4 linked regions of the Ovis aries genome follow. The protein of the gene in region 1 binds, or shares a complex with, the protein of each later gene. Links are inferred from orthologs where the notes say so. Each region holds a gene or a part of one and is shown on either strand. Other genes may lie near its edges. The genes, in order: LAGE3, GON7, OSGEP and TPRKB.

Region 1 (6,154 bases):
CAAGCTGCGCCAGAAACTGGAGCAGATCATCGGCCTCGTGTCCAGCAACAGCTAAGGGCAGCCGACCTGGAGAGAAAGGCCTCAGACCTGAGCCAGTCTCCCGTCCAGGGGGCGTCTCGGGCCTGGGTCCTGGGCTGAGCCCTGGATCAGGTGGCACCGGGCCGAGACGCCCCTGGCATAGCCCGGGGCCCTTCATTAGTGCCTTGCTTTGGGCCCTGCGTGGGGAGGGGGCGACTGGACCAAGCCCCCCACCACAGCAGCAGCAATACCCCCACCCTCCCCCTGCCCTCTTGCCCGGTCTGGTGATCACCCCTGACCTCCTTGCTATTTATGCCTCAGCCACCTATTTATTTAATTTATCTCCACTCACCCTTTCCATCTGTAAATACGCCCCCCCCCATCCACCCACCCCTGCCCCAGATGTCCCAACCTTACTCACCTCCTCGAGTCCTCCGGCTCCCCCCTTGGCCTCACCTCTGGCCCCACCCCTTCCCCTGGCTGCCCCTGCCCATCTCCAGGAGAGGGCCTGGACACCAGCAGCACTCGGGGTGGGCAAGGCTCCAAAGGTGCCCTCAGACTATGGCTCTGCGGAGGGGGTCCCCCAGCAGCTGACACAGAAGCCTGTCCAGACTTCTCGGGCTGGGCCTGGGCCTCCTCCCAGGCCGTGTTCTCTGAGGCCTGGAGGGCTTGAATCAGGCTCCTGCCAGGGCCAGACCTGGGCCTGGGGGCACCGGACTCTCCTCCTCCAGGCCCTGCTGCCAAACTCCATCTGTGGGGTCTGCACGCCCCCAGACCACTCACCCTCCGCTGCCCTGCCCTGCGCACGCCTCGAGGGGCAGAGGTGGCAGTGCCTTACTCCTTTGTTCTTCTGCCTCCTTGGAGGAACCTGGCCCCAGTCCATGCTCCTACAAACCCGATTTGGCCTCTTTTTCTTTTCTGCATGAGGTTTTCTTTGACCTGTCATTTTTTTTTTTCCTAATTAAATGTTGGGAAACAGAGTTGGCATGTGGCTTTGTTCTCAGGGCAGGTGGGGAGACTGTCGGATTCTGCCTGAGCTGGAGGCCATCTGTGGGAGCAAGGGTGACTCCTTGTGGGGTTTCTGAGGATCTGAGGTGGTCCAGGGCAGCCATGTCCAATCCATCAATGAGGCTGGGTGGCTCCACCTTCAAGACATGTTCAGAAGCCACCCCCTTCTCCCCATCCCCACTGCCCCTGACTGGTCCAAGCTGCCCCTGTCTCTTGCCTGGACCCCATTTCTGCCCTGGCTTCCCTCAGCCTCTTCTCACCATGGGAGGCACCAGGACTCTGTCAATAAACATGGTGGCCCCTGTCCCCACTCTGTTCAAAATGGTCCAGAGCTTCATGGCCAACAAACACCTTCATGTCTGCCAGCTCTTTACTGTCCCAAGTGCACTGCAGTCAATTGTGCCCCTGTGCAGTGCTGAGGCCCTCAATCGCGTCTGACTCTTTGCGACTCCATGGACTCCCACCAGGCTCCTCTATCCATGGGATTCCCCAGGCAAGAATCATGGAGTGGGTTGCCATTTCCTCCTCCAGGGGATCTTCTGGACACAGGGATCAAACCCTCATCTCTTGTGCCTCCCACACTGGCAGGTGGATTCTTTACTGCTACACCACCTGGGAAGCCCCCAATGGTGACACTAATGTGGGGAAACCAGAATTCTGGTGGGAGGGCATTTTATGGACAGTAATTTCACATGCTTCAGATTGAGAGCTTTAAATATTTAATTAATTCTACTTCTTGTAATCTTAATCATTCATGCAAAGATCTATATACAAGTGTTCCATGGAATCATTACCTATAATATGGCAAAGACTGAAAATAGTTTAAACAATCAATAATGATTTTGAAGAATTTTTAGAAAAAAGTTCATGTTAGATGAGAAATACCAGGAAAAATGCTAAACTTGCAAAATATCAAATATTATTATTACACATTTACTATGTAACTATAAAACTCAAAAATACTCCAAAATATTGATAGTAGCTAATACTGAATGAGAGACAGGACCTATCCTCCTCCATTTCTTAGATTATCTTCACTTACACTGTACTACTTGACTATCTGAATCAGAACCCTCCCATCTAAGAACAAATGCAAGAATTTTGAAGGTGCTACAGTTGAAAATAAACTCATCATAGGTCAATTTTATTTTCAGTAGTTAAGAAACATTTAAGTACCAAACAATGCAAGTGGACCTTGAGCACCCAAGGGCCATTATAGCCAAAAGATGAGGCCCCCATAATAGGCAACTAGTGCAGGAATCACTGCCCTAGGAAGGATGCACTGTCTAGGAAGGGCCACCAGATCAGACCCCCCTTTCCCCAGCCCTGGCTTAGCGAGCAACAGGGGGCCCAAAGCGCTGCATGGTTCGCATCACCAGAGAAAGCTGGTCCAGAAAGTTGACAATGGAGATTCGAAGGAGGCGGCAATCTTCAGCTCTCCAGCAGCTGAAAATGACAGAAAAAGAGAATCAAGGTGGAGATGGGTTGAATCAAGGGCACTGCGTCACCTCCATAAACACAGCCCTTGAGTATGTCCAAACAGAGCGCCCCCGGCGAGAGACAAGCTTGGTCACCTGCTACCACTTCCAACCAGCCCCTTTTCCAACTTACACAGCCAGGACATTGCCGCTCACTGTGAGCTCCTTCCCAACCGCCCCACGGTGAGGTTCGGTATCTGGGGCCAGTGACCCATGGGCAATCTCTGCCTCCAACGCGGACGGGAAAGGCACGCTTAGGGTGCTGATGGAGATGCGGTTAAGGTACCACCCACAAGGATTTGGAGCTCTGGGTCCTGTCTCAGGACCGCTTCCAGCCCCTCCGGGCCGCTCGTAGCCCTAATCCAGCCCAGCCACCCCACTGCCCCGAGATCCCATTTCTCCCCCCGACCCACGCCACCCAGGCCCATCCCAGCTTCCAGTCTCCCTTCAGCTCTCTATTCTCTACCCGCCCCAGGCGCCCTGGCCATTCCACCCCCCAGCAGCCCCTGACCCGCCGGTCCGTTTGTCCCACCTCCCACCGCAGGCATCCCCCAGCCCAATCCGCACTGCCCCTCGAGTAGGATACAATACGCATGGTCGGCTTCCCGGCTTTTGGGAAGAGTGCTGGGCCGGCGCGACACCCGGAGCTCCGTGGTCTGCAGCGGAAGCAGCACCCGCGCTGCCGGGGCTGCCCCGGCCACCCCCGAACCCCCGCCGGCCCTGGCTTTCGGCGCCACCCGCCAGGATGCCTGCGCCTACGTCCCCACCTGTCTCCTGCATGGCTGCCGTGCTCCGCCTCCAACCCCACCCACTGGCTCCAGGACTCTCCGTCGCCCACCCGCTACGCGAGCAGCTTAAAAACTGCTGCTTCTTCCTGAAGCGCCGCCCCCGCCCCGCGCGCCGCCCCCGCCCCGCGCGCCGCCCCCGCCCCGCGCGCCGCCCCCGCCCCGCGCGCCGCCCCCGCCCCGCGCGCCGCCCCCGCCCCGCGCGCCGACCCCGCCCCGCGCGCCGACCCCGCCCCGCGCGCCGACCCCGCCCCGCGCGCCGACCCCGCCCCGCGCGCCGACCCCGCCCCGCGCGCCGACCCCGCCCCGCGCGCCGACCCCGCCCCGCGCGCCGACCCCGCCCCGCGCGCCGACCCCGCCCCGCGCGCCGACCCCGCCCCGCGCGCCGACCCCGCCCCGCGCGCTTGCGCAAACAGGTCTGGTGGAGCCGGCCGGCCGAGGGGAATCTCCGTTGGCCGCAGAGAAATGAATCTCCCTTCCTCAGTTCGGGGCTTCCCTTGTAGCTCAGTGGGTAAAGAATCTACCTGCCATGCAAGAGATCCGGGTTTGATCCCTGGGTCAGGAAGATCCCCTGGAGAAGGAAATAGCAACACACTCCAGTATTCCTGCCTGGAGAACCCCATGGACAGAGGAGCCTGGGGGCTACAGTCCGTGAGGTCGCAAGAGTTGGACACGACTTACTGACTAAACCACAGAGTCGGCCACGACTGAGCGACTAACTCTTTCTTTCCCACAGCTCGGGCCTTTCACAAACTGTATGACTCGATTTTAACTTCCCTTTTCTGTTCTGCAAGTTTTTGACAGTAACCTTATACGGCATTTTTAATCAAAAATAAGTTTTTAAAGTGACATGAAATTTCTGATGGTGATAGCCCTGTTAGTTTTCTGTTTTCCTCCTTTGTAATCAGAAGGAAGGGCATAAAGGTGAAGTAGGTTATCAAAGCCTGTTGGATCACCCCTCGAAATCCATCCTGAATCAGCCTACCCTCTCCCCCTTCATTGCTAGTCTCCACCGGTGGCCACCCTATCTCCCTGAACTTGATATATATATTTCACATATAATTTAATTGTTTTTGGCTGTGCTGGGTCTTCCTTCCTGTGAGGGTTTTTGTCTAGTTGCAGCAAGCGGGCTTATTGCAGTGCCTTCTCTTGTTGGCAGAGCTCAGGCTGTAGGGCGCGTGGGCTCTAGAGCACAGTCTCAGTAGTTGTGGTACTTGGCTTAGTGGTTCCCAGGCATGGGGGATCTTCATGGATCAGAGCTTCCAAGTCTCCTGCATTGGCAGGTGGATTCTCTACCACTGGGGCTTCCCTGGTGGATCAGATGGTAAAGAATCTGCCTGCAGTGCAGGAGACCCGGGTTTGATCCCTGGGTGGGGAAGATCCCTTGGGGAAGGGAATGTCTACCCACTTCAGTATTCTTGCCTGGAGAATTCCATGGACAGAGGAGCCTTGTGTGGGACACAATGGAGTGACTACTACTTTCACTTTTTTTTCTTCACCAGGGGAGCCCCTTGAACAGCTTTCTGACTAGTTTTCTTCTATGCTTGCTCCTCTACATTCTGTTCTCCACAGTAGAATCAGTTCTTAATTTTTAATATATATCACATCATATCATGTCCCTGCTTAAAGTTACTAAAACAGTTTCCTGTTGTCTTTGAAACCAAAGACAAACTCCTTCCTGTAGCTTATAAAAGTCCTGTGTGACCCGGCTCAGGGTTCCTCCACCTTCTTGCTTCCCTACTCTGTGCAACCTCTAGGGACTTCTCTCTGCTCCTGACCAAGGGTGGCCTGCCCGCATCCCTTAGCACTTACTTTTTCTTTTTGGAAGACTGTCTCCAGACTTTCCCGTTGCTGGCTCCTTCTTGTCATTAAGATCTAGTCTCCAGTGTCAATTCTGAGAGGCCTTTGGGATCACCAATCTAACATACTACCCCCAGGCACCGTGCATCACATTTGCCCATTTCAGGTTGCTCATTTCTAATAATCTGAAATTGTAAGTTTGTTCACTTCTATACTGTCATTGTATTGTCTCTGATACCTTTTCTATGTAGTTCATGCACTAGGTGGTTTGTTTCTTGTTGGATGAAACAACATTCTGTGTGCTCCGTTGTGTCTGACTCTGCGACCCCATGGACTGGACTGTAGCACGCCAGGCTTCCCTGTCCTTCACCATCTCCCGGAGCTTGCTCAAACTCATGTCCATTGAGTAGGTGATGCCATCCAACCATCTCATCCTCTGTTGCCCCCTTCTCATCCCCTCAAAAACTCAGACAGTGTCTTGGGCCTAGGAATGCCACATGTACCAGTTACTTCACAAATATGAAACAACATATGCACAAAATTACTTCAGTTCAGTTCAGTCGCTCAGTCATGTTGGACTCTTTGCGACCCCATCAATTGCAGCACGCTAGGCTTCCCTGTCCATCACCAACTCCTGGAGTTCACCCAAACTCATGTCCATCGAGTCGGTGATGCCATCCAGCCATCTCATCCTCGGTCATCCCCTTCTCCTCCTGCCCCCAATCCCTCCCAGCATCAGGATCTTTTCCAATGAGTCAGCTCTTCACATGAGGTGGCCAAAGTACTGGAGTTTCAGCTTCAGTATCAGTCCCTCCAATGAACACCCAGGACTGATCTCCTTTAGGATGGACTGGTTGGATCTCCTTGCAGTCCAAGGGACTCTCAAGAGTCTTCTCCAACAACACAGTTCAAAAGCATCAATTCTTCAGTGCTCAGCTTTCTTCACAGTACAACTCTCACATCCATACATGACTACTGGAAAAACCATAGCCTTGACTAGACAGACCTTTGTTGGCAAAGTAATGTCTCTGCTTTTCAATATGCTATCTAGGTTGGTCATAACTT
Region 2 (7,204 bases), on another chromosome or scaffold:
GTGCTTCCCGCAGTGGAAGCATATAGTCTTATCAGTGGAGCGCCAGTGAAGTCCCTCTACCATTTCAACAAAGAAAATTCAAACTGAAACTCCTTGGGGACTTGATTAAACATACAAAAGCATGTCCTTATATATGAAGCTATTAATGACCCATTATTAGCAGAAAAAGTAGAAGTTATTTTTCCAGCAAGCCATTTTTTAAATGGCTCCATCTGTACCTGTCCTTATTCCAATGATAGTATTTTCAACGGTTTAGAGAGGATCTTTTGGAGCCAAGAACCAGGACTTCATGCTGATGGAAACAATCTACTGTCTGAAATTCACATAATATTCTGAGTTGGTTCTATCATATTATCTGGCACTATCAAGATGTAAACAAGATGGAAAGAAAAGGAAAGTACAGTACAGTTTAAGCTCCTCTACAGAGGAGTTACACCTTCATGATCACAGCCTTGTCATGGTGAAGGGGCTTGTGTTATTCAATGAAGCTGCAAGCCATGCTGCGCAGTGCCACCCAAGATGGATGCGTCATAGTGAAGAATTCTGATAAAACATGGTCCACTGGAGAAGGAAATGCCAATCCACTCCAGTATTCTTGCCTAGAGAACCCCATGGACAACATGAAAAGGCAAAAAGATGACGCTAGAAGATGAGCCCCCAGGTTGGAAGGTGTCCAATATGCTACTGGGGAAGAGCAGAGGGCAATTACTAATAACCCCAGAAAAATGAAGCAGCTGGGGTAAAGCAGGAATGATGCTCAGTCATGGATGTGTCTGGTGGTGAAAGTAAAGTCTGATGTTGTAAAGAACAATATTGCATAGAAACCAAGAATGTTTGGAAGGTAAACTGGACACAGTCAAGAAGGAAATGATAGGAGTGAACATCAACATCTTAGGAATCAGTGAACTAAGATGGACAGGAATGGGCGAATTTAATTCAGATAACCATTGTATCTACTACAGTGGTCAAGAATCCTTTGGAAAGAAATGAAGTAGCCCTCATGGTCAACAAAAGAGTCTGAAATACAGTACTTGGGTGCAATCTCAAAAACGAAAGAATGATCTCGGTTCGTTTCCAAGGCAAACCAGTCAACATCACGGTAATCCAAGTCGATGTCTCAACCACTGATGCTGAAGAAACTAAAGTTAACTGGTTGTATGAAGACCTACAACTTCTAGAACTAATACCAAAAATGATGTCCTTTTCATCATAGGGGACTGGAATGCAAAAGCAGGAAGTCAAGAGATACCTGGAGAAACAGGTAAGTTTGGCCTTGGAGTACAAAAATGAAGCAGGGCAAAGGTTAAGAGTATTGTCAAGAGAACACGCTGGTCGTAGCAAACGCCTTTTTCCAATGACCCAAGAGACGCCTCTACACATGGACATCACTATCTGGTCAATACTGAAATCAGACTGATTATGTTCTTTGCAACTTAAGATGGAGAAGTTCCACATAGTCATGATCTGGAGCTGACTGTGGCTCATATCATGAACTCCTTATTATAAAATTCATGTTTAAATGGAAGAAAGTAGGGGAAAATCACTAGGCCATTCAAGTATGACCTAAATAAAATCCCTTATGATTATACAGTGGAGGTGACAAATAGATTCAGGGAATTAGATTTGCAGACAGAGTGCCTGAAGAACTATGGATGGAGGTTTGTAACACTGTGCAGTAGGCAGTGACCAAAACCAATCCAAAGTAAAAGAAATGCAAGAAGGTAAATTGGTTGTCCAAGGAGGCTTTACAAAGAGCTGAGGAAAGAAGAGAGGTGAAAAGCAAGGGAGAAAGAGAAAGATATACCCTTCTGAATGCAGAGTTCCAAAGAATATTAAGGAGAGATAAGAAGGCCTTCTTAATGAACAATGCAAAGAAACAGAAAATAATAGAATGGGAAAGACAGATCTCTTCAAGAAAATTGGAGACACCAAGGGAACATTTCATGCAAAGACAGGCATGATAAAAGGACAGAAATGGTAAGGACCTAACAGAAGCAGAAGAAATTAAGAGGTGGCAAGACTACACAGAAGAACTATACAAGAAGTCTTAATGACACGGATAACCACAATGGTGTGGTCACTCACCTAGAGCTGGATATCCTGGAGTCTGAAGTCAAGTGGACCTTAGGACTATGAACAAACCTAATGGAGGTGATAGAACTCCAGCTGAGCTATTTAGAATCTTAAAAGATGATGCTGTTTGATATGTCAGCAAATTTGGAAAACTCAGCAGCGGCCAGAGGACTGGAAAAGGTCAGTTTTTATTCCAATCCCCAAACCGTATGCAGGTCAAGAAACAACAGTTAGAACCAGGCAGGAAACAACAAACTTGTTCAAAATTGGGAAAGGAGTACATCAAAGCTGTATATTGTCACTCTGCTTATTCCAAGCTGGATGAAGCACAAGCTGGAATCAAGAGTGCCAGGAGAAGTATCAAAAACATCAGATACACAGATAATACCACCTTAATGGCAGAAAGTGAAGAGCAACTAAAGAACCTCTTGATGAAGCTGAAAGAGGAGAGTGAAGAAGCTGGCTTAAAACTCAACATTCAAAGACAAAGAAGATGGCACCCGGTCCCATCACTTCATGACAAATAGAAGGGGAAAAAGTGGAAGCAGTGACAGATTTTATTTTCTTGGGCTCCAAAATCACTGCAGACAGTGACTGTAGCCACGAAATTAAAAGACACTTGATCCTTGGAAGGAAAGCTATGACAAACCTAGACAGTGTATTAAAAGCAGAGACATCACTCTGACGACAAAGGTCTGTATAGTCAAAGCTATGGTTTTTTCAGTAGTCATGTACAGATGTGAGAGTTGGTCCATAAAGAAGGCTGAGTGCTGAAGAATTGATGCTTTTGAACTGTGGTACTGGAGAAGACTCTTGAGGGTCCCTTGGAAGGCAAGGAGATGAAATGTTAATCCTAAAGGAAATCAACCCTGAATATTCATTGGGTGGACTGATGCTGAAGCTGAAGCTCCAATAATTTGGCCATCTGAGGCAAAGAGCTGACTCACTGGAAAAGACTGATGCTAGGAAAGATTGAGGGCAGATGGAGAAGGGGGAGACAAAGGATGAGATGGCTGGATGGCACTGCAGTTTAAATGTACCTGAATTTGAGCAAGCTCTGGGAGACAGAGAAGGACAGAGGAGCCTGGTGTGCTACAGTCCATGGAGTTGCAGAGTTGGACACAACTGAGCGACTGAACCTCAACAACAACAATAGGGGAAGTAAGCCCTGATTCCAATATTTAGTTCTTAGGTTCTTCAGCTCAGGGTATTCAAGACAAGACTTAAGAATACAGTTAAAATTTCCATTTCTGCTTTCAAACTGCACCTACCACACTGGGAAATGAAAGGAGTCCCTGACAGTGAAGCCTTGTTCATCTGAAATCTATTCCAATCTTCAGAACCTGTTTCTATTCTGTAATAGATGGCGGTCTTCCAAACATATTTGTAAGTTCACGCCTGGGAAAATTCCTTTCCATCCTTCTAAGCCCAGCTTAGAAGTCATGCTCTTTCTGAAGCCTTCTTGGGTTCTCTAGGTTTGCAATAGTTACAAAGAAGCCTAGGGTCATTCCTTCTACTCTTTAATAAGAATGTTTGTCTGTCTAACCTCCCACAGAGTTCCACAAGAACAGGAACTGAGTCGCATTCACGTCATTCTTTCTCCAGAGTTCAGCCCAGTGACTGGCACAGGGCCGTAGGCGTTCAGTACGTTTTTTGTGTGACATAAATGAAAAGAGAATCGTCAAAAGCAGTCCTGCTAAACGAGTCCAGGTACAGCCCAAATTTCTCCGGGCGCCCCTGCCCGCCCTCCTGTCACTCGCTGAACCGTCTCAAAGCTCACCGTCCAAGGCCTCGTCGGGAGCCGCCGTCCCCCGGTCCTGTGCTTCCGGCTGTACCTGAGAGCCGAAGAGCTCAGTCACCAGCTCCCTCATCTGAGCCACACCGGACAACAAGCTCTGGAAAGGGTCGGTGACGCCCGGCGCCTCACAAGGCACCCGCAGCTGCTGTCGCTGCCCTTCCAGTCCGACGTACTCGCCCAACAGCTCCATAGCGACCGCTACGCTTCAGGAGCGCGCCACAGTGAGTCGCCACCGGAAACGGAAACCAGCCCGCCGCGGGCGCAGGCGCGGAGAAGGGAGAGGCCTGACTTCCGTTTGTCGGAAGTCGCTCCTCCCCCTTCCTTCGCTCCCTGTCTTTGGGATTGGTGTCTGGCACCGAGGCCCCGCCTCCTCCGGCCCCGCCCCTCGCGGACGCTTTTCCCGCCTCCGCCGGGGCCGGTCGGCGGTCCTGGTGACAGTTGAGGATGGCTGGAGCTGAGGAGCCAGCTGGGCGACAGTCGGAGTTGGAGCCCGTGGTATCGTTGGTCGATGTACTGGAGGAGGACGAGGAGCTGGAGAATGAGGCTTGCGCCGTCCTGGGCGGCAGTGACTCGGAGAAGTGCTCCTACTCGCAGGTGGGCGCGCGGCTCGGCCCTCGCCTCCGCTGAACCTCCCTTTCCCCACCGCCTTACCCTCTCTCTTCCCGCCGGCCGCGGCCGGCCCCCTGTGGTGGTCCAGCGCAGCTGTTGGTCGTAGGCTTCCCCATCCCAGGCCCAGGTGCCCTTTTACACTTAGTCTTCTGAGCCCCTTCTAACCTGTGGCCAGCAGGACGCCCCTCCTTTCTCGATTTTCCTCTGTCAGGCCCCCGACGTTTCTACGGTTTTGGCCCCAGAGCAGCTGCTCTTTCCTTCCTTCCTCGTCTCTTCTCTGTGCCCCGGCCGCTTTTCACCAAACCAACCCCGTGACCTTTCACATCCTGAGTATCTTTGTCCATACTTTTCCCATCCTCAGAGTATTTGCTGGGTACTAAACGGAAGAGTCAAATAATTAAAGGAGAGAGCTCTGGGTTTGAAAATCTCTCCGCGTAGGCTGGACTCCTGGACAGCTGGTTCCTCTGCAGTTTAGTTTGACAGGTGCTAGCTGGTTTTTTTTTTTGGCGAGAGGAAGCAAGTACCACGTCTCTCTGCAGTCGGCCCTCCAGGGGCATAGACCGGAACCCGAACAGCTGGTGGCACTGGCAAAGGAAAGGAGGGGAGGAGAGATGGCATTCGGAAGATGGTGGGAACAAGGACTGGAGGGGGTGTGACGTAGTGTTTGGTGACTCATTCTATGTTTCTAGGTTCAAAAATGGAGAAAGGTGGTAGAAGAAAACTAATGAGAGATGGTACTTGATAGGAAGAAGGTTATCTTCCAGGCAGGTGGAGTGGAACATTGCAGGATGGGGAGAGAGACATGGGGTCTTTACGTGGTGTTGCTTGAGATCACAATACCAGTTGTTATCAATGACCAGTTGAGTTTACACTGCAAAGTGGTTAGATTTTTTTTTTTTTAATACACCTGGCTTCAGAGGTATTTAATGTTGGCTGATATTTTAAAACCTTTGGTCGCCACTGGAACAACTTTTTCTCTGTTTGCCTTTTTTAAAAAAGCCTGTAAGTTATTTTTGAAACGTAGTTAGATTTTTAAAACAGACTTCCTTAAAAAATTTTTTTGTATTGTTGTAAAATATGTGGAAAAGTGCAGAAACCATGTATAAGTCTTGGGAAAGCAAAACTGAAAACACCTGCAGGTACATACCACACAGATCAAGAAATAGAACATTACCAGCATCACAGAAGCTTTCCTGGGACTCCCTTCTTCTCAGAAGATGGCAGCCATTATCAGGATTTGCTTTTCTCTCGACTTTTTATTTTGAAATGTTTAAAGTCTACAGTTAAAATGAAAAAATAATATTATGAACACCTGTGTACCTTCACATATATTCACTTTTTAATATTTTACCACATTTGTTTTATCTTTTACTTCTTCACTGTAATATACTTTGTTTTTGTTTCCTGAACCAGTTGAAAATAAATTTCAGACCATGACACTTCAACTCTAAATATGTCAGCATACATCTTAAAATCAAAGGGATTCATTTAATGCACTGGTTTTCTCTTTGGTGGAATCACAAGCATTTTCCAAAATTAAAGTATGATTATTCCTTACATAAGCTTACACACATTCTCCTGTATTTTCATGTGTTAAAATAGTTAAGCAGACCGGTTTATTCACAGCTGACTAAAAATGTTAACTTCTATCACTTTGAGAAAAAGTTATATGAAACGTGTATGAAACCTGCAACAGTGTTTTGGTATTCTATTGTATATGCTTTTTTATTAGTCTCAGTGGCTTTTACAGGAAGATCTTGACCCCAGATCATCTGATTTCAGTTATTTCTCAGATCATAGTGTGGGCATTAGGTTGCTCTGCCAGTGTTTCATCAGTTTCCGGTCTTTTTCCATTTTGGGGCTGTCTTTAGGGTTCAGTAAAGAGACAAGCACTGTATGCCTGCAGTACCTGCACTCCAGAGGGAGAAGAACCGGCAGGAATTTGCCTGGCTTGCAGTTACGAATGTCATGGAAGTCATAAACTATTTGAGCTGTACACGAAAAGGTAAACTGGTCAGAGATTGATGCTGGATGCTTTTCAAATGTTTAGATTCTTTTCCAGTTGCACTTTTTTTCTTAATCATGTTTTTGCATTCAAAGTAGTTGTGCCCTGGTAAAATTTAATGCAACTGTTTTATATAATGTAATCGGAAAGAACAGTTTTTCCAGGGGACCTTTTAAAATATAATTATGAGGCAAACTCAGACTACTCCTGCTATCCTTCCACTGTTTTATGTGTGTGTGTGAGATACAGATATTTGTCTTTATGCATGTTAATTTCTTGGAGAAGGAAATGGCAATCCACTCCAGTATTCTTATCTGGAGAATTCCATGGACAGGGGAGCCTGGTGGGCTACGGTCCGTGGGATCACAAAGAGTCAGACATGACTGGGCACACAGCACACACATGTTAATTTATAGAATTATTAAATCTTTTATTGTAATATGCTTGGGAAAATTGCGGATTGGATACATGAACAACAACCAAGTCCAATTTTTAGATCCTAGAAGCTAATTGAAAGGGAAGAGGCTATGATATGAATGTAGTCTTTAGACTTAGAAGAAAAATTAAAATTGGCTCTTCCTCCTTTCTTTCAGAAATTTTCGTTGTGATTGTGGAAACAGCAAGTTTAAAAATTTGGAATGCAAATTGTTTCCTGTAAGTAACCACAGTAAACGATAAATGCATAGAAAGTAGCTAAGATTTGTATTTGTCCTAGGGGA
Region 3 (7,098 bases), on another chromosome or scaffold:
GCACAGCAGTGGAAGAATATACCTGGAACCCAGCTAGGTCAAAATAGTCTGCACCTCACCTTTGAAACCACCACTACATCCGCTGTACCTTCACATCCCCCGCTTCCCTCAACTCTGTTTTTCCCAATCTCTATAGGATTCTAAGCCCTATTCTGTCCCCATAGGTCCTGGCATGGGTGCCCCACTGGTTTCTGTGGCTGTTGTGGCCCGTACTGTGGCCCAGTTATGGAATAAGCCATTGCTGGGTGTTAACCACTGTATAGGTCACATTGAGATGGGCCGCCTCATCACTGGAGCCACCAACCCAACTGTGCTGTATGTCAGTGGAGGAAATACACAGGTATTTAGAATTCTTCACGGTTCTTTTTTTTTTTTTCCCCTCAGATTTTTGGGTATTTTTAATAACTGAAACAAAACAGATCTAAAACCACAGCTTCTAGAAGAACCATCTGTTCTTGCTGGTTTTGTATCTTTCCTCAAACTTGACCTTGACCTCTTGTTGGGATGCACATTTAAGAGCAGGGTATCTGAAGACATTCTCCTTGGCCACAGTTTTTTCCAAGGGGATACCTACAGAGTACCTTGTGGGCTTGAAGTGGTATACTTCAAGTTACAAACTTTCACAAAAGACTTGCTCTCTGACCTCCTGGCAGTTTTCTTCTTGCCCATGGTAGCTTTCACTTTGTACCTTGCTAGCAAGGTAGCAAGATCATAGGTGTTCATGATGACTGGCCAGGGGCATCACCACCTCCCAGGTTTCATGAACTTGGCCATTTTGACAGAAGCCATTCAGGACTACAGCAGAAGAGTTCCACCAGTCCTTCTTAATTTCTGAGGCACTGTGCTAGCAACTTTCACTTTCTGCCTGAGTGGTAGGAAAACTGGGCTCATCTGAAGCTAAAAAGTGATACACTGGAACATTGGATGACCTTTATACGTGGCTATCGAGATGAGGAATTTCCAGCTTAGAGAAGGAAAAAATAGTAAGGATTGAAGTGTTTAAGGATTTTTATTTTCATTATTTTGAAGCTTATTTTTCCTATGAATGTTAGCAATTAAAATTAAGGGGCACTTGGCAGTCCAGTGGTTAAGACTCTGCTTTCAGTGCCAGGGGCACGGGTTCTATCCCTTGTCAGGGGACTGAGATCCTACATGCCTCAAGGTGCAGCCAGAAAAATTTTTTTTAAAAAAAAGAAACTAAAGGGTACTATCTCATTTGTTTCTTTACAACATTTGTTTTGTTTTAGTTACTGATGGTAAATATATAGGTTTGTTTTTTTTTTAAGAGTGAAAATGTAAGTAATTTAAATAACATTTTATGAATGGTGGAAGATGTTTTAAATTTATAGATGAAGCCAGAGTTGTTTGGGATACCTTACAAGATCTTTTTAAGTTGAGATGGGAGAACTCTAGCCTTCCTTTTCCACCTAACACCTGATGGGATTATTGTCCAGACTGATTCCTCTCTCCTGAAAGGATTATATTCCAAAAGTTCATTTTGTGAAATAGTTATTAAAGATGAAGCATGCATTTCTATGAAAATGACGTGAGAACTTTAATGGGTAGAGAACAAGTAATTGGTTGAGGCCTGAAGGATATTTATTGTACAAGGTTAGAAACTTAGGGTGTGGAAAGTAACAGTGGAAGCTTACAAGATTTACTTGAGATGAGCAGTGATGGAATTTTCTCTTTTCCTCTTTCCCTTTAAAGCCTGCTTAGGTGTGAAAAACAAGATGATTGACTACAGAATTTTTCTTTATGCTTTTGTTTCCAACCTTTTATCAGTAGAGTAAGGGCTACATCAGAATGGAAGAAAATCCCTAGCAGCACCAGAAAGGGAAAGGGACTTAACGATCCTTTGGAAGTACTGTCAGAAGTCTGGAGCTTAAGTGTCAGTGGGTGATGAATACTCTCTGTGCTAGAAGTTGGTCCCATATGAAGAGTGGACAGAAGTCGGTTGCCAGTGCTGAGCTGGATGAGCAATTAGTCTGACCCAGTATGGAATTTTGGGGTTTTGTTTTCGTTGTTATTGCTGCACCAAGTGGCTTGTGGGATCTTAGTTCTCCTGCCAGGGACTGAATGCATTTGCAACCAGGTTCAGGGAATTCCCTGGGATTTTTGATTTTTTTTTTTTTTTTTAACTCTACCTTAGTGGTTTCCAAATATTACCACCCTCATAGGATAATGTTGAAGAACTCTGGTTCCCTGCCTCCAAGAAGGAAAGCTTTCCCTAGTCCACACTGTCTTGACTGCTTTTAAAGGAATATCAGCAACCTCCAAGCTAGAAAAATGTATCCAAAATGGTAATTTACTTCTCTCCCCTCCTAGGTTACCGTCTTTAGACTAGAAGTCTATTCTAGGAATCTTTAGGGTGTATATAGACTTCTCAGAAGTGCTATTCAAAAGTACCTGTTGAGGGACTGGGAAAGTACTTTATTTCCATTGGTTATTGAAGTTCTAGTGGCCACATTGATCCTCTGCTATGTTCTTCCCCAAGCCAAATGCTCCTCTTTACAGACTTGAGGTTTCATGGACATCCTCATCACCCTTAGGTGATTGCGTATTCAGAACATCGTTACCGCATCTTTGGGGAAACCATCGATATTGCTGTGGGTAATTGTCTGGATCGTTTTGCTCGAGTGCTGAAGGTGAGTCATTGAGGCTACAGAGAATATAAGTTGTGAATGAATTTTGGGAGAGCTATGGAAAAGGAAAGGGAAGATAAATTAGCTTCTTTTGCTTCATAGATACCTGCCTTCATCCTGTTTTTCCTTCTAGATTTCCAATGACCCAAGTCCAGGCTACAACATTGAGCAAATGGCAAAGCGGTAAGGGGAATAAGGCAGAAGGAGGCTGACTGGTGGGGTGCCAAGGATTTCCCTGTGTATGTATTAATGAGCTTTGGGAGGGCTTTGGAGGGTGAGCAGCCAGCTGACTACAGGCTTAGTGCCTCATATACTCACTCCCACATAGAGGCAAGAAGCTAGTTGAGCTGCCATACACTGTAAAGGGGATGGACGTCTCATTCTCTGGGATCTTGTCTTTTATTGAGGTGAGTGTGGGGAGGTGAGGAGATGGGCACTTTCATGCTTTTTAGTGAAGTGTGCGAGTTTTGCTCAGTGTAGTATTTTCTGTAGTATATAGCATAGTACTGGCCTATGTTAGATGCTGAATAAATTCATCTAGCAAATACCTATTGAACATCTTTTGTGTACCAAGTGCTGTTCGAGGTAATAGTGATACTAGATGGAGCAAAACAAAAATCTGCCTACTTGGAGCATGCATTTCATGGGGCATGGAAGGAGGGAGGGAGACAGAAAAAGAAACAGACAAAGAAATGGGAAAAAAATAAAAAGGGTCAGACGGGGATAAGTCTGGAGAAAAATTTACCAGGGTGAGACAGAAGGTGAGAGGCCAGGCATTCATGATTATTGAATCTTGAAAGAAGGCTGCTGGTTTTATATATATAGATATAGCTCAGTGCCAGTGAAGAGCAAGATATACGATATACTGGTATGGGTGAATTGTGGTAAAATATAGCAATCCTCCAAGTGTGCTAGTTTTTTGCTCACATGTCACCCCCAGTTCACTGTTTTATCTGTTTGCCCCTGTAACTACAGGACATAGCTCAGCGCATGCTGGCCACTGGAGAGTGTACTCCCGAGGATCTGTGCTTCTCCCTGCAGGTAATGAAGTGAAGAGCTGGGATAGAAAGGTGGAGCTGACAGAACTAAACTGGGATCGCCTCTGATGTTTTCAACTTGTCTGTCCCCCACAGGAAACTGTGTTTGCAATGCTGGTCGAGATCACAGAGCGGGCCATGGCGCACTGTGGCTCCCAGGAGGCCCTCATTGTGGGAGGTGTAGGATGTATGTATCATTGAACTGACCTTCTCTTTTGTATTTTGGGGCATGTGCATCTTGCTCCTGATACTCTTAATCTCTAAGGGTTTGGGGAAATTACTTATTTTGTTTCTGTCCTATGCTTCCCAGTCCTTGCCCCTACTTCATTTTCCTAAGTCAGTGCACATGAGGTGTATAGCTAGACTGGAGAAATGGCTAAAAATAAGCTAATCGTACCCCTGCCTCTGTAGGTAATGTGAGGTTACAGGAAATGATGGAGACCATGTGCCAGGAACGTGGAGCTCGGCTTTATGCCACAGATGAAAGGTAAAGGCCCTCCCACCCACACATACTTTTTGTCCCTCCAGTTGCTGTGATTTTCTACCCTTAGATCATGAATTGCATATGTCTTTTCCTTCCCAGATTCTGCATTGACAATGGAGCCATGATAGCCCAGGCTGGGTGGGAGATGTTTCAGGCTGGACACAGGACCCCTCTCAGTGAATCTGGGATCACACAGAGGTAAGTGGCCCCTGGGAGGAGGTAGACAGCATTATATGGGAGGTAGGCAAAAATCCAATAGGAAGAGGACCCAGAATCATGAGGGCAAAGAAGAATGGAATAAGGGTTAACTGTCCACCAAGTTTTTCCTTTTTTTTTCTCTTTTAAACAGGTATCGGACAGATGAAGTAGAAGTGACCTGGAGGGACTAACAAAGTTAACAGGATTGGAGTATTTGGTGCCCTGAGTGGAGCCCAAGGGACCCTAGGCCTTAATCTCTGTCCTGACAAGGCTTTGGACTCCCTTGTCTCATCATTTGAACCTCAAGAATTGACTCAGTATTAAAATATTTTTGGTTTTATATGTTGGCAATTGACTTGTGTTCTGGAAGAATATACATTTGGCAGTGGTCAAATCCTTTTGATGGGTCGATGGATAAGGAGGGCAGGGGTCGGAGCAGCACCCTGGCGGACTGCAGGTAGCCTTGGGAGCTGCTGCTCTGGAGCTAAAGTTGAGGAGAATCTCTGAGATATTCTAACCTTCCCTTAGGAATGCATTATCATTGGTACTATTTTAGCATCAGGTCTTGTGTTAATTGCTTTACATTCATCACCGTGTTTAAATTCTTTGAAGTGTAGGTACTCAGGATTTCCCTGAAAACAGCCTGAAGCCAGATATAATTTCATACTAATTGATAACTCAAAAGTAAAACTGTCCCTCCTGCATACACTTAAGCCTACAGACATTTCCATTGGCAGACCAGAGGGAGGCCCTGGGTACGTGTCCTGCCACAACCACCAGAATTAACCTCATCATGCACTTTTATTTATACCAGTCACCATAAGAAGTGTGACTATCAAGTCACCTCTCTTTTAAACTCTAATAACCATTACTCTCCATTCCCTTTTTTGTCCCTGTCCACCCGCTTCTTTAACTCTTGCAATTCTTTTTGTAATCTCTGAAGTTAGCAGCCAGTCATTAGCAGAAATCCCATGTATCCTCAGCATCATCTCTGAATGTTCCCTGTACATGGTTGTGCTCTGAGCCCTGGTTTCTCCTAAGGATTCTGCTGCTCCTGCCTCCTGTAGTGGCGGTGGGTTCTCTCACACCCACTGTAGCTCTAGGCCGGCCTGGAGGCAGTGTGGGAGGCCGCATTTTTCCTCATGCTGCTATTAGACTACTCTCATCTCTAACATGCCTCAGCTTTAAAACAATATCTGTCATAAATCTTGGTGCTTTAAATACCCATATAGATTATCTTGCTAACACTGAACTGGTCTCAGTTCTTTGCACCTCCACTGATCTTTTCCTATAGTCCCACTTCAGCTACTCCTTCCTCTGGTCGTATTCCAGCCCTACTGCTAATCCATATCTCAGTCTCAAACATCCCACTCTCCCACCGTTACTTCCTATTTTTCCAATTGACTCCACGTGTCTTCACTTCTGTCCTGCAACTAAGTGCCAGTCATGAGCACCTCATTGCAAACAACTAATCTCTTTTGCTTCTCTTGCTTTTGTCACACTCAACTCTTGACTGACTTTATGCCTACACCCATTCAGCTGAAAGGGCTAGGGAAAAACAGCCACGTTGACTTTAAATTCATTACCAAGAAACTTCAGTGGGTCCGTTATGCTAAAAGTAGTATTTGCTAGTCTTTTCACTTGCCCTCCTTTTTGGGGGGGTGGGGTGGAACTCTGTGTTGCTTGCAGCATCAAAGTTGGGAATTCTCTACTTACCACTTTTCTGATCCTGTTTTATTCCTTCTGATCCCTCACATCTCCAACATCCCCTTCATTGTTTTTGGTAGAAAATAGAGACAGTGAATAGGTTCACAAGCTTCTACCACTACACTTACCATAACTTCCAGCATTTATACCCATATGCTCTGCTTTCTCTCCTGTTACTGTATCTTTTTTTTTTCCTCATTATTTTTGCTGTTGTTTATATTTTTCTCTACTGTTGCTACATACCAGTGGTTCTCATCTGGGGCTGAGTTTGCTCCCAGAGGGCATTGGGTTGTAACCGAGAGGTGGTGCTCTGGGTGGAGGCCAAGGCTGCTGCAGTGTAGTTTACAGTACACAGAACAGCTTCCCCCAACAGAATTATCTGGGGTGAAGTGTCATTTGTGTCAAGGTTGAGAAGCGTTGCTCTAAACAAACTGCCTAGGCTCCCTTCCAAATCCTTGGATAGCTTGTCCCAAGCTCTTTCAAGGACATCTCCCATCTTTCCTGTAGGGTCAGTATTTTCCTTTCTTGGAGCATCCTATATGCTGGAGCATGCAAATCACGCTGTCATTTTTCTCATCTTAACAAAGACCCAAATCTCTCTTGACCCCATTTCCCCTTCCAATTGCTTCCAATTTTCCTGTTCAATTTTTTAAAAACACGAGTTATTTTTAAAATTCAGGTATAGTTGATTTACAGTATTATGTTTCAGATGTATAACAGTGATTCAGTAGTTTTATAGATGATACTCCACTTAAAGTTATTATAAAACACTATATTCCCTGTGCTGTACTAATACATCTTTATAGTTTATTCATTCTGCTCTGTTTTATAGCAGAATATCTTTTTTTTTTTTATAGCAGAATATCTTAAGAGTCATCTGCACTTCCTCTCCACCAGTTTCCTATTAAGTTGACTGCACCCAACTGTTACCATGATCACCAGGACATGCATGAACCAAATCCAATGGCATCTTCTGCTTCATCTTACACAGGCTGTCAGCAGGATTTGGCACACCCTCTTAGAAACA
Region 4 (7,371 bases), on another chromosome or scaffold:
TCTACCTGGGCTGCCAGCATCTTTCAAGGGTCCAGTTCAAAGGTCACTCCTTTAGCACTTTCCTCCTTTATAGCATGAATTGCTTCTCTGTTCCCACAGATTTGCATTATTATTCCACTATATCAATTATCTTAGGACGTTTGAACCTTGTCTTGTTCATCTTCCTTGCTTGGGAACACTTCTGACCCCAGACTGGAACAGGGGCAAGCTTAACACATGCTTATGAACTGCAGTCTCCTGAGTTATTTCAGTGATCTCAAAGAGACAATCACCCAGTAATTTTCCCCAAGATACTGGGGAATCCCATTACTACCCATTTTATAAATTTTTCAAACATCTGCATTTTAAACCATGCCACACGTTTCCTAATCTTTCTCTCCATGTCAGTACTTGACTGTGTTTAGTAGTTAGTACTTAGTGAGTTCAATCGCTCAGTCGTGTCCAACTCTTTGTGACCCCATGAGTAATAATTAAACTTCGTCAGCAAAATTAGTTGGTTTTTTAAAAAATAAGCCCAGGTGGAATGTTTTTAACTCAAAAACTTTGATTACTATCAATCTCTCAAACACAAACTCTTCCTATGTACTGCATGTATGAGCATGTGTTAAGAGCTAGTCTAGGTATCCGGCAGATTTCTGGTCTATGGAAAAGGCATGGTTCTATCCTCAAAGAGTTTATAGGGAGAATAAAAGATGTGCATGGTAACACACAAATACCCATGCCTAATTTTTATCATGAGATTTAAATAGCATTTTCCTAACTCTGTATGTCAGGAAGGACAAATAAAACTATCCTCAATTACTTTAGCTAAATTTCATGAGTGACTCCAACGCTTACTTGTCTCGTAGGCGGCAATGCTAAACCTCAACTCTGTCCAGCACTCACTCTTCACTGTTATTTTGGTTTGTTACCAGCAACAGGCTCCAACCCAACACTGAGTCACACACAGGCTACCATGACAAGATCAAAAGATATAAATAAAGTATACATTCCATATTAATTACATTGTTATTTGGGGAAAGATTGAAAATAACTTCAGTAGATAGAGTTCTTGTCTTCATTTTCCCCAGTTTGTAGAGGTGAACTGCTTTGTTTGCGGCCACAATTATCTGAAATGGATCGACAATCTACCAAAGAGAACAGGAAGAATTACACACAAAGAATCTGGAGCACTCTGAAGAACAATGCCCTGTACCCTCGAGTATCAGGCTGTTTTACTTCATCACAATTTCTATATTTTCAAAATTGTCAAAATCTTAAGGGCCTAGGTGTTTAGAAAAATCACAGAATTCTACAGCTGCAGGCAATTAAGATACAAAGAGTTTTAAAACAACTTATTGAGGACTATTATTATGGGAAAGGCCATATTCTCAACATTTAAACTTTATTTTCTATTCTACTCAAACCTACCCTATTTGATATCTTTTATTATTTTTCATGTGCAATAAATGAGGAAACCAAGGCAAAGAATGGGTTGGAATTTCAGTTCTGCCACTTACCACCAAGGGAACCTGGGCAAATTCCTTAGCATTTTATCTTTTAGAAGCAGATAATCATCTCACTACTTCATAGAGTTGTTGTGAAGATTAAGTGAGTTAGCAGTAATATAAAGAACTTACCAAATAAGCACTGAATAAAGGCTACCACATGCTCAAAGTCATAATAAATGGCATAACTGGGACTTAAGTCCTGGTGATTCTACCACTGTGCAATGCCTCCTTTACAGAGGCTTTCTAGGTCACACAAGATGGGTATCTAGGCATCTGCCATCATATCAGAGGGAAACCACCTTTCACGTCAGGACGGGGCTCAGCACTTGGCTTCTGCTGCTGCTAAGTCATGTCCGACTCTGTGTGACCCCACAGATGGCAGCCCACCAGGCTCCCCCGTCCCTGGGATTCTCCAGGCAAGAACACTGGAGTGGGTTGCCATTTTTAAAGTGAAAGTGAAGTCGCTCATTCCTGTCTGACCCTCAGTGACCCCATGGACTGGAGCCTTCCAGACTCCTCCGTCCATGGGATTTTCCAGGCAAGAGTACTGGAGTGGGGTGCCATTGCCTTCTCCCACTTGGTTTCTATTCACTGTTAAACTGAAGGCTGGCCAAATCTGAATCCACTCTACAGGTTAGACAAGTCCTTTTACATGAAGATAACAATTTTGGGCTAACCCATAACATCATGAAAAATCACTCATTGCCATGAGTACTTACCACTGTAGGATTTATTAATGAGCCATCAATGGCACCTTCCATGGCCTTTTTTCTCAAGCCTGCAGCATTTTTTACATCTTTAAATAACAGAAGGGTCACCCTGTATTCAGGAAATAGGTCCAGCTGATGTGTTAACTGCATTTCATAGATAAGCAGGATGCTACTGCACAAGACCAAAAGACCAAAAGTTAACAACTGTAAGTCACTAACAAATATCCTTGCTCACAATTAAAGTATTACAACTTTAATAGTAAGATGTAGAACTGTTAAACTTGAAAAATCCACCCCAAAACATCTGGCAGCCTGATGACAGACTGTCTTCCTAACCCTGCTAAGCTGTTCTAGCTTCCTTCCTGGGAAACGATCAAGGGCAACACCAGGTCCCCTAGTTGTACAGAAAAGGCAGGCTCTGGATGAGGGGGAGATTCTCAACAACTAGGAGCAGGGCACCAAACACTTTTTAGACCACAGGGTACTTACAGCATTAAGGAAACCTCACTCCAACTTAGTCTTTTTAGCTTTCTAATCTCACCATTTTATTTATATTTTGACAGAATCTAGACATAAATATAAGGCAGAAAACAATCTTATAGAAGAAAGTATGACACAACTCAGATATTCATTACATACATGGGAATTTAAGCCTAGAGGGTACAATTCTTAAATAGTAACACCCTTTATAGACATAAATTTAACAAGAAAAGGACAGGGTATATACAAAAACATAAAAGCAGCATAAACAACAAATAACTGGAGAGACATAATCTATCTTTGAATGAAAATACTAAGCACTGCAAAAATATAATCTTTAAAACAATTTCAATTAAAGTCTCAGAGATATTTAGATGAAGCAATTTTATATAGGGTCACTTTATCCTTTTATCTAGGAGGTTTTATTTCCACCGTTTTTCTGAAGGAATAAATTGGCAATCTGAAGATTTATGTAATAAGATGTTTTTATCATCCTGAGTAAAAGGTTGAAAACCTACCTAACTAGTAACAGGCCCAACTACAGTGGCTTTACTGACCAACCACTAAAAACTGTAGTCTTGAAGAGTAGCTAAGGATGTGTAAATATAGTAATAAATAACATTAAGTACTTAACATCTGATTGGAAAATAAAACAAAATGTTCATAATATGTGGGTTTTTTAAAATGGACACAAAAAGAAAACTACTGGAAAAAACAACAAAATATTATCTTTGACTTGCTGGAATTACATCTGATTTTTTCTGTTACAATCTGGAAAAATAAAATTGTGAATAGTGTCTTGGCACAGCAGGGCCACACAATCTTTATTATCATGATAATATCCAATGGAAAAAATATATATACATAAAATGTATACCCAATTCTACCAAAAAAAAAAAAAAATTGATTCAGAAAACAAAAACAAAGGAAGCACACCAAAATACGGCCATCTTGGGTAGCAGAATTACAGACAATTTTGTTTTCTAGAAAAAATATTTTTGCATGTTCTGAATTTTCTACAGTGAGCACACAAAAGATAATGAGTACATACAACCAGGGAGGAAACAATTTTTTTGTGTTTTTTGTTTTTACAGTAGGGGGAAAAGGGGGCCTATCAAATGTCAAAAATGGTTTTGGTTTGTTTTATATAATTCACTCACTTAGGTCAGAAACTTCGAACCATCGCTGGATACTTACCTTCCACTCAAATCCCATATCTTATGCAAAACTCTTGTCAATTTTTAAGTATCATCTTGAAGGGTCCAATTCTCTCCCATACCTACTCTGCCACTGCCGTTGGCCACCTTCTCTCCTCAACAGCGGTGACCTCCTAGAAGTCGCCTCACAATTCCTTCCCTCCTATCATCCAACTTCCACCCGGGAGTCAAAGTGATCTTTTCAAAACGTACACCAAATCCTGCCCTGCTATCAAGTCCCTTTATGTCACGGAGTCCCAGACTATGATCTGAGACCTTCCTCCCTCTTCCGCTTCCTAGCGCAGCCCTGCAGACAGCGCTCATTTCCCCTCAGCCGCACTGGCCCTTCCAGCTTGTCACCACCCCCAGTCCCTACCCAGCACGCCCCCTCGGACAGGCGGTTACTCTGAATTAATCCTCCCTCCCTTCGACTGGCCAGTAAGAGCCCATTTGCCGGCGCCCCCAGGACTAGTCTCCTATTCTCCGAGCTCCTCTGTTACAACTTTGGTGAGTCTGAGGCTCATCAGAATGCTGTATCGTCCGCCCTCGAAGGGAGGCTGAGCCGATCACTGCCGGGCTGCATCCCAGGACCCGACCTTAGCAAACGCTCGATAAACGAGGGCGCCGAAAATCACAGGTATCATCTGGAAAATCACTGGTCTCCAGTCCCCGCCCGCCCCGGCCAGCGATGTGGCGCCAGGTACTCACCGTCGCGTCCCCGTCCGTCTCGTAAGATCTTCCCCACGGAAACAAAGCGCTCAACTTCCGGGAGATCTGCCGCAGCTGCGTTCCTTCCTCGCCCTACCCGACCCTGCAGTGTCATTTCAGGTCGGGGTCGGAGGGAGGTTCTCAGCTACCTCCTTACACAGAGTGTTTCGCCGGCGTGAGTCGCGTCCGCTGACCCGAAGGGGAGCAGGGGCTCGGTGCGCCACTTCCTATGAGAGTGGCGGCAAGGCTCCTCCGACCGGGCCGGAAGCTTGAGTGCGGGTCTTGGCCGCGTCCTTAAGCCGCTTGGCCTTGAACGAGACATCCTGTTTCATCCTATGCGAAGAAAATTAATGGTTCCGATGAGCTCTACATATGTCTCCGCTGCTCGAGATTCTACAGTTCTTTTTCGAGGCAAGCAGGACTCAGTTTTTTCTTGTTCTGGACGAGGTCCAGTTGGCCAGGATCTCCTGGAGCCGAAAGCGCTCGGCGATCTGCCTAGGGTATTTGAGAGAGGTGTCAGTACAACCTCTTCCCCCAGCAGGCTCCCGTTTGCCATCCCTGAGTGTATCAGCCTCCGAAAGAGGAGGTCATCCGCTAAATGGGTGTTTTTCTTCCATGTTATTCTAATATGTTATTCTTCCATGTTTTTTATGCTTGGGGGCTCATCTAGGTCAATACTTTTCTTTAAACAAAAAGGTAAATAATAAATAGGATAGATATGTGCTATGGAGAAAAAAAACTAGAGAATAGGGGGTAATGTCAGGCCGTGAGTATTACCGTTTAAAATAGGATGGTTAAGAAAGATCTCACCAAAAAGGGCCATTTGTGACTGGGGGAGGTTTGGAGGCAGGTTCTGTGTGTATCTGAAGAGCAGCAATTCCAGAGAGAACAGAGAGAGTTAAAAGACTCAGAACAGATATGGCCTCATTTAAGAAAGAGCAAAGAGAACCGTGTGGCTTGAGCCCAGTGGGAATATATATGAAATTATTCTGAGGAAAGACTGGTATCCAGATTATATAACCAACTCCAATTCGAAAATAGTAAGAGACACAACCTGATTAAGGATAGATGGCACAATTGAACACATTTTAGGAAAGATACATGAAAGGCCAATAAAAACATGAAAAGATGCTCATCATTAGTCATCAGGGAAATAGACACAAATTAAAAACATAATGAGTTATTACTACATACCCATAAGAATGCTAAAATTTGAAAGACCTTAAAATTTTTAAATATCAAGTGTTGTCAAACATCCAGAACTGGAACCTTCACATATTGCTAGTCGGAGTATAAAATAAAAATAGTGTAACCACTTTGGAAAAGAGTTTGGCAGTTTCTTAAAAAATTAAATGCATGGCCCCAGTGTTAAAGAATCCACCTGCCAGTGCAGGGATGCAAGACTGCTGGTCTGATCCCTGGGTCAGGAGAATCCCCTGGAGGAGGGCATGGCAACCCACTCCAGTGTTCTTGCCTAGAGAATCCCATGGACAGAGGAGCTGGGCAGGCTACAGTCTATGGGGTTAAAAAGAGTCAGACACGGTTGAAACAACTGAGCACACTCCCTTGCACGTGCGTACTTAACCATTCGCAGCAGTTCCACTCCTTGATATTTAACCAGGAGCAGTGACAACATGTCCACCCACAGGCTTGAACATAAATGTTCATAGCAACTCTACTCATGATGGCCCCAAACTGGGAACAACCCAGTGCCCAATAATACATGAATGGATAAACAAATCATGGTAAATTCATGTCATGAAATACTATTCAGTAATAAAAGGAATGAACATACTTGCAACATGAATCAATCAAAAACATGCTCAGCAAAAAAAGCAAAGTAAAATTGTTACTGTATGTTTCCATTTCTACAAAACTATAGGGATTGCAAATATAGCAAATTTATTCTAGAGTGAAAGCAAATTAGTGGTTGTTAGGGACGGGGAAGTGGGAGACACTGGGAAAAAAAAAAAAAACCAAGAGAACATTTGTGATGAAGCCAATGTTCTATGTCCTGATGTCATGTTAATTACAAGGGAACCTGCATTAAAATGCATCAAATTATGTCATTTTAGAAAGTACATTTTGTAAAATTTCTCAGTAAAGTTGATTTAAAAAGACAAAGTTGTCCAGTTCAAAGTGACTTGTCTGTGATCACCAAAAGCTAGAAACAACCCAAACCCTTGTTAAGTGAATAAACAAACTGTATATCCATACAATGGAACACAACTTGGCAGTTAAAAGGAAATCAACTATTGCTACATACAATAACATTGACAAATTTCAAAATTATGCTGAAAAAAAGTCAGACATAAAAATAGTGTATCCTGTGATTCCATCATTTACATAGAACAGATCCTACTGTATAGCACAAAAAACTGTATTCAATATTCTGTGATAAACCCATAATGGAAAAGAATATTAAAAGGAATAGAATATATATTCAGTATATATGTATAGCTGATTCACTTTGCTGTACAGCAGAAACTAACACAACATTGTAAGTCAACCATACTTTAATAAAAAAAAAAGTTTAAATAAAACGGAAAGTAAATTTGCTGAATTGCTTCATAAGGAAATAGAAAAATGCCTTGTGTCAGGCTGTTGAAAATGTTCTCTCTTGAACATAACCTCTAGCAGATGGAAAGAGGGCTCTTTAATGTTTCCATTTTCTTTGATGTTATTAATATTCCCTTATAATCTGTGTATGTGGTCACAGTTGGTCTCTTGAAGTAGTTCTACTTTACCCCCGATTTCTGAAGTCATTAATGTCAATATAGTAGCAAC

What was found.
Region 2: the proteins of LAGE3 (region 1) and GON7 are in contact, whole or in part, in a crystal structure (PDB 6GWJ), measured with the Homo sapiens proteins. The link is inferred for Ovis aries from reciprocal best matches to the Homo sapiens genes LAGE3 and GON7. Residues at the interface, in NP_006005.2 of Homo sapiens: Pro60, His61, Ile62, Phe63, Thr64, Leu65, Ser66, Val67, Pro68, Phe69, Pro70, Glu74, Arg102, Ile103, Glu111, Cys113, Leu116, Arg117, Val120, Ile121, Leu124, Asp125, Leu127, Ser128, Val131, Arg132, Met134, Gln135; in NP_115879.2 of Homo sapiens: Met1, Glu2, Leu3, Leu4, Gly5, Glu6, Tyr7, Val8, Gly9, Gln10, Leu17, Asp28, Pro29, Phe30, Gln31, Leu33, Leu34, Val37, Met40, Lys41, Val44, Thr45, Leu47, Phe48, Asp49.
Region 3: the proteins of LAGE3 (region 1) and OSGEP are in contact, whole or in part, in a crystal structure (PDB 6GWJ), measured with the Homo sapiens proteins. The link is inferred for Ovis aries from reciprocal best matches to the Homo sapiens genes LAGE3 and OSGEP. Residues at the interface, in NP_006005.2 of Homo sapiens: Glu76, Ile77, Gly80, Ser81, Leu82, Pro84, Asp85, Asp125, Gln126, Leu129, Val130, Arg132, Thr133, Met134, Arg136, Phe137, Gly138, Pro139, Pro140, Val141, Arg143; in NP_060277.1 of Homo sapiens: Arg50, Ile53, Leu54, Asp55, Leu57, Gln58, Leu61, Gln69, Ala84, Val87, Ser88, Val91, Val92, Arg94, Thr95, Val96, Gln98, Leu99, Trp100, Asn101, Leu315, Ser318, Gly319, Val320.
Region 4: LAGE3 (region 1) and TPRKB share a complex: the UniProt entries of both Homo sapiens proteins name them as parts of the EKC/KEOPS complex. The link is inferred for Ovis aries from reciprocal best matches to the Homo sapiens genes LAGE3 and TPRKB.

Annotation. Positions count from the first base shown.
Region 1 is NC_056080.1:79,962,159-79,968,312, reverse strand, and holds LAGE3 (EKC/KEOPS complex subunit LAGE3), read right to left. Parts: upstream 3,332-6,154; 5' UTR 3,285-3,331; coding exon 3,091-3,284; intron 2,767-3,090; coding exon 2,638-2,766; intron 2,473-2,637; coding exon 2,358-2,472; 3' UTR 2,138-2,357; downstream 1-2,137. Other genes in the region: PLXNA3 (plexin-A3), read left to right, coding at 1-55. UniProt on the Homo sapiens protein: Component of the EKC/KEOPS complex that is required for the formation of a threonylcarbamoyl group on adenosine at position 37 (t(6)A37) in tRNAs that read codons beginning with adenine.
Region 2 is NC_056071.1:55,647,624-55,654,827, forward strand, and holds the start of GON7 (EKC/KEOPS complex subunit GON7), read right to left. Parts: upstream 4,119-7,204; 5' UTR 4,062-4,118; coding exon 3,854-4,061; intron 1-3,853. Other genes in the region: putative E3 ubiquitin-protein ligase UBR7, read left to right, coding at 4,316-4,465, 6,352-6,485, 7,079-7,139. UniProt on the Homo sapiens protein: Component of the EKC/KEOPS complex that is required for the formation of a threonylcarbamoyl group on adenosine at position 37 (t(6)A37) in tRNAs that read codons beginning with adenine.
Region 3 is NC_056060.1:24,952,831-24,959,928, forward strand, and holds the end of OSGEP (tRNA N6-adenosine threonylcarbamoyltransferase), read left to right. Parts: intron 1-164; coding exon 165-340; intron 341-2,552; coding exon 2,553-2,648; intron 2,649-2,778; coding exon 2,779-2,828; intron 2,829-2,973; coding exon 2,974-3,052; intron 3,053-3,620; coding exon 3,621-3,686; intron 3,687-3,778; coding exon 3,779-3,869; intron 3,870-4,093; coding exon 4,094-4,169; intron 4,170-4,265; coding exon 4,266-4,364; intron 4,365-4,515; coding exon 4,516-4,555; 3' UTR 4,556-4,704; downstream 4,705-7,098. UniProt on the Homo sapiens protein: Component of the EKC/KEOPS complex that is required for the formation of a threonylcarbamoyl group on adenosine at position 37 (t(6)A37) in tRNAs that read codons beginning with adenine.
Region 4 is NC_056056.1:95,597,846-95,605,216, forward strand, and holds the start of TPRKB (EKC/KEOPS complex subunit TPRKB), read right to left. Parts: upstream 4,611-7,371; 5' UTR 4,473-4,610; exon of another isoform or gene 3,878-4,472; intron 2,373-3,877; exon of another isoform or gene 2,370-2,372; 5' UTR 2,351-2,369; coding exon 2,210-2,350; exon of another isoform or gene 1,128-2,209; coding exon 1,005-1,127; exon of another isoform or gene 1-1,004. UniProt on the Homo sapiens protein: Component of the EKC/KEOPS complex that is required for the formation of a threonylcarbamoyl group on adenosine at position 37 (t(6)A37) in tRNAs that read codons beginning with adenine.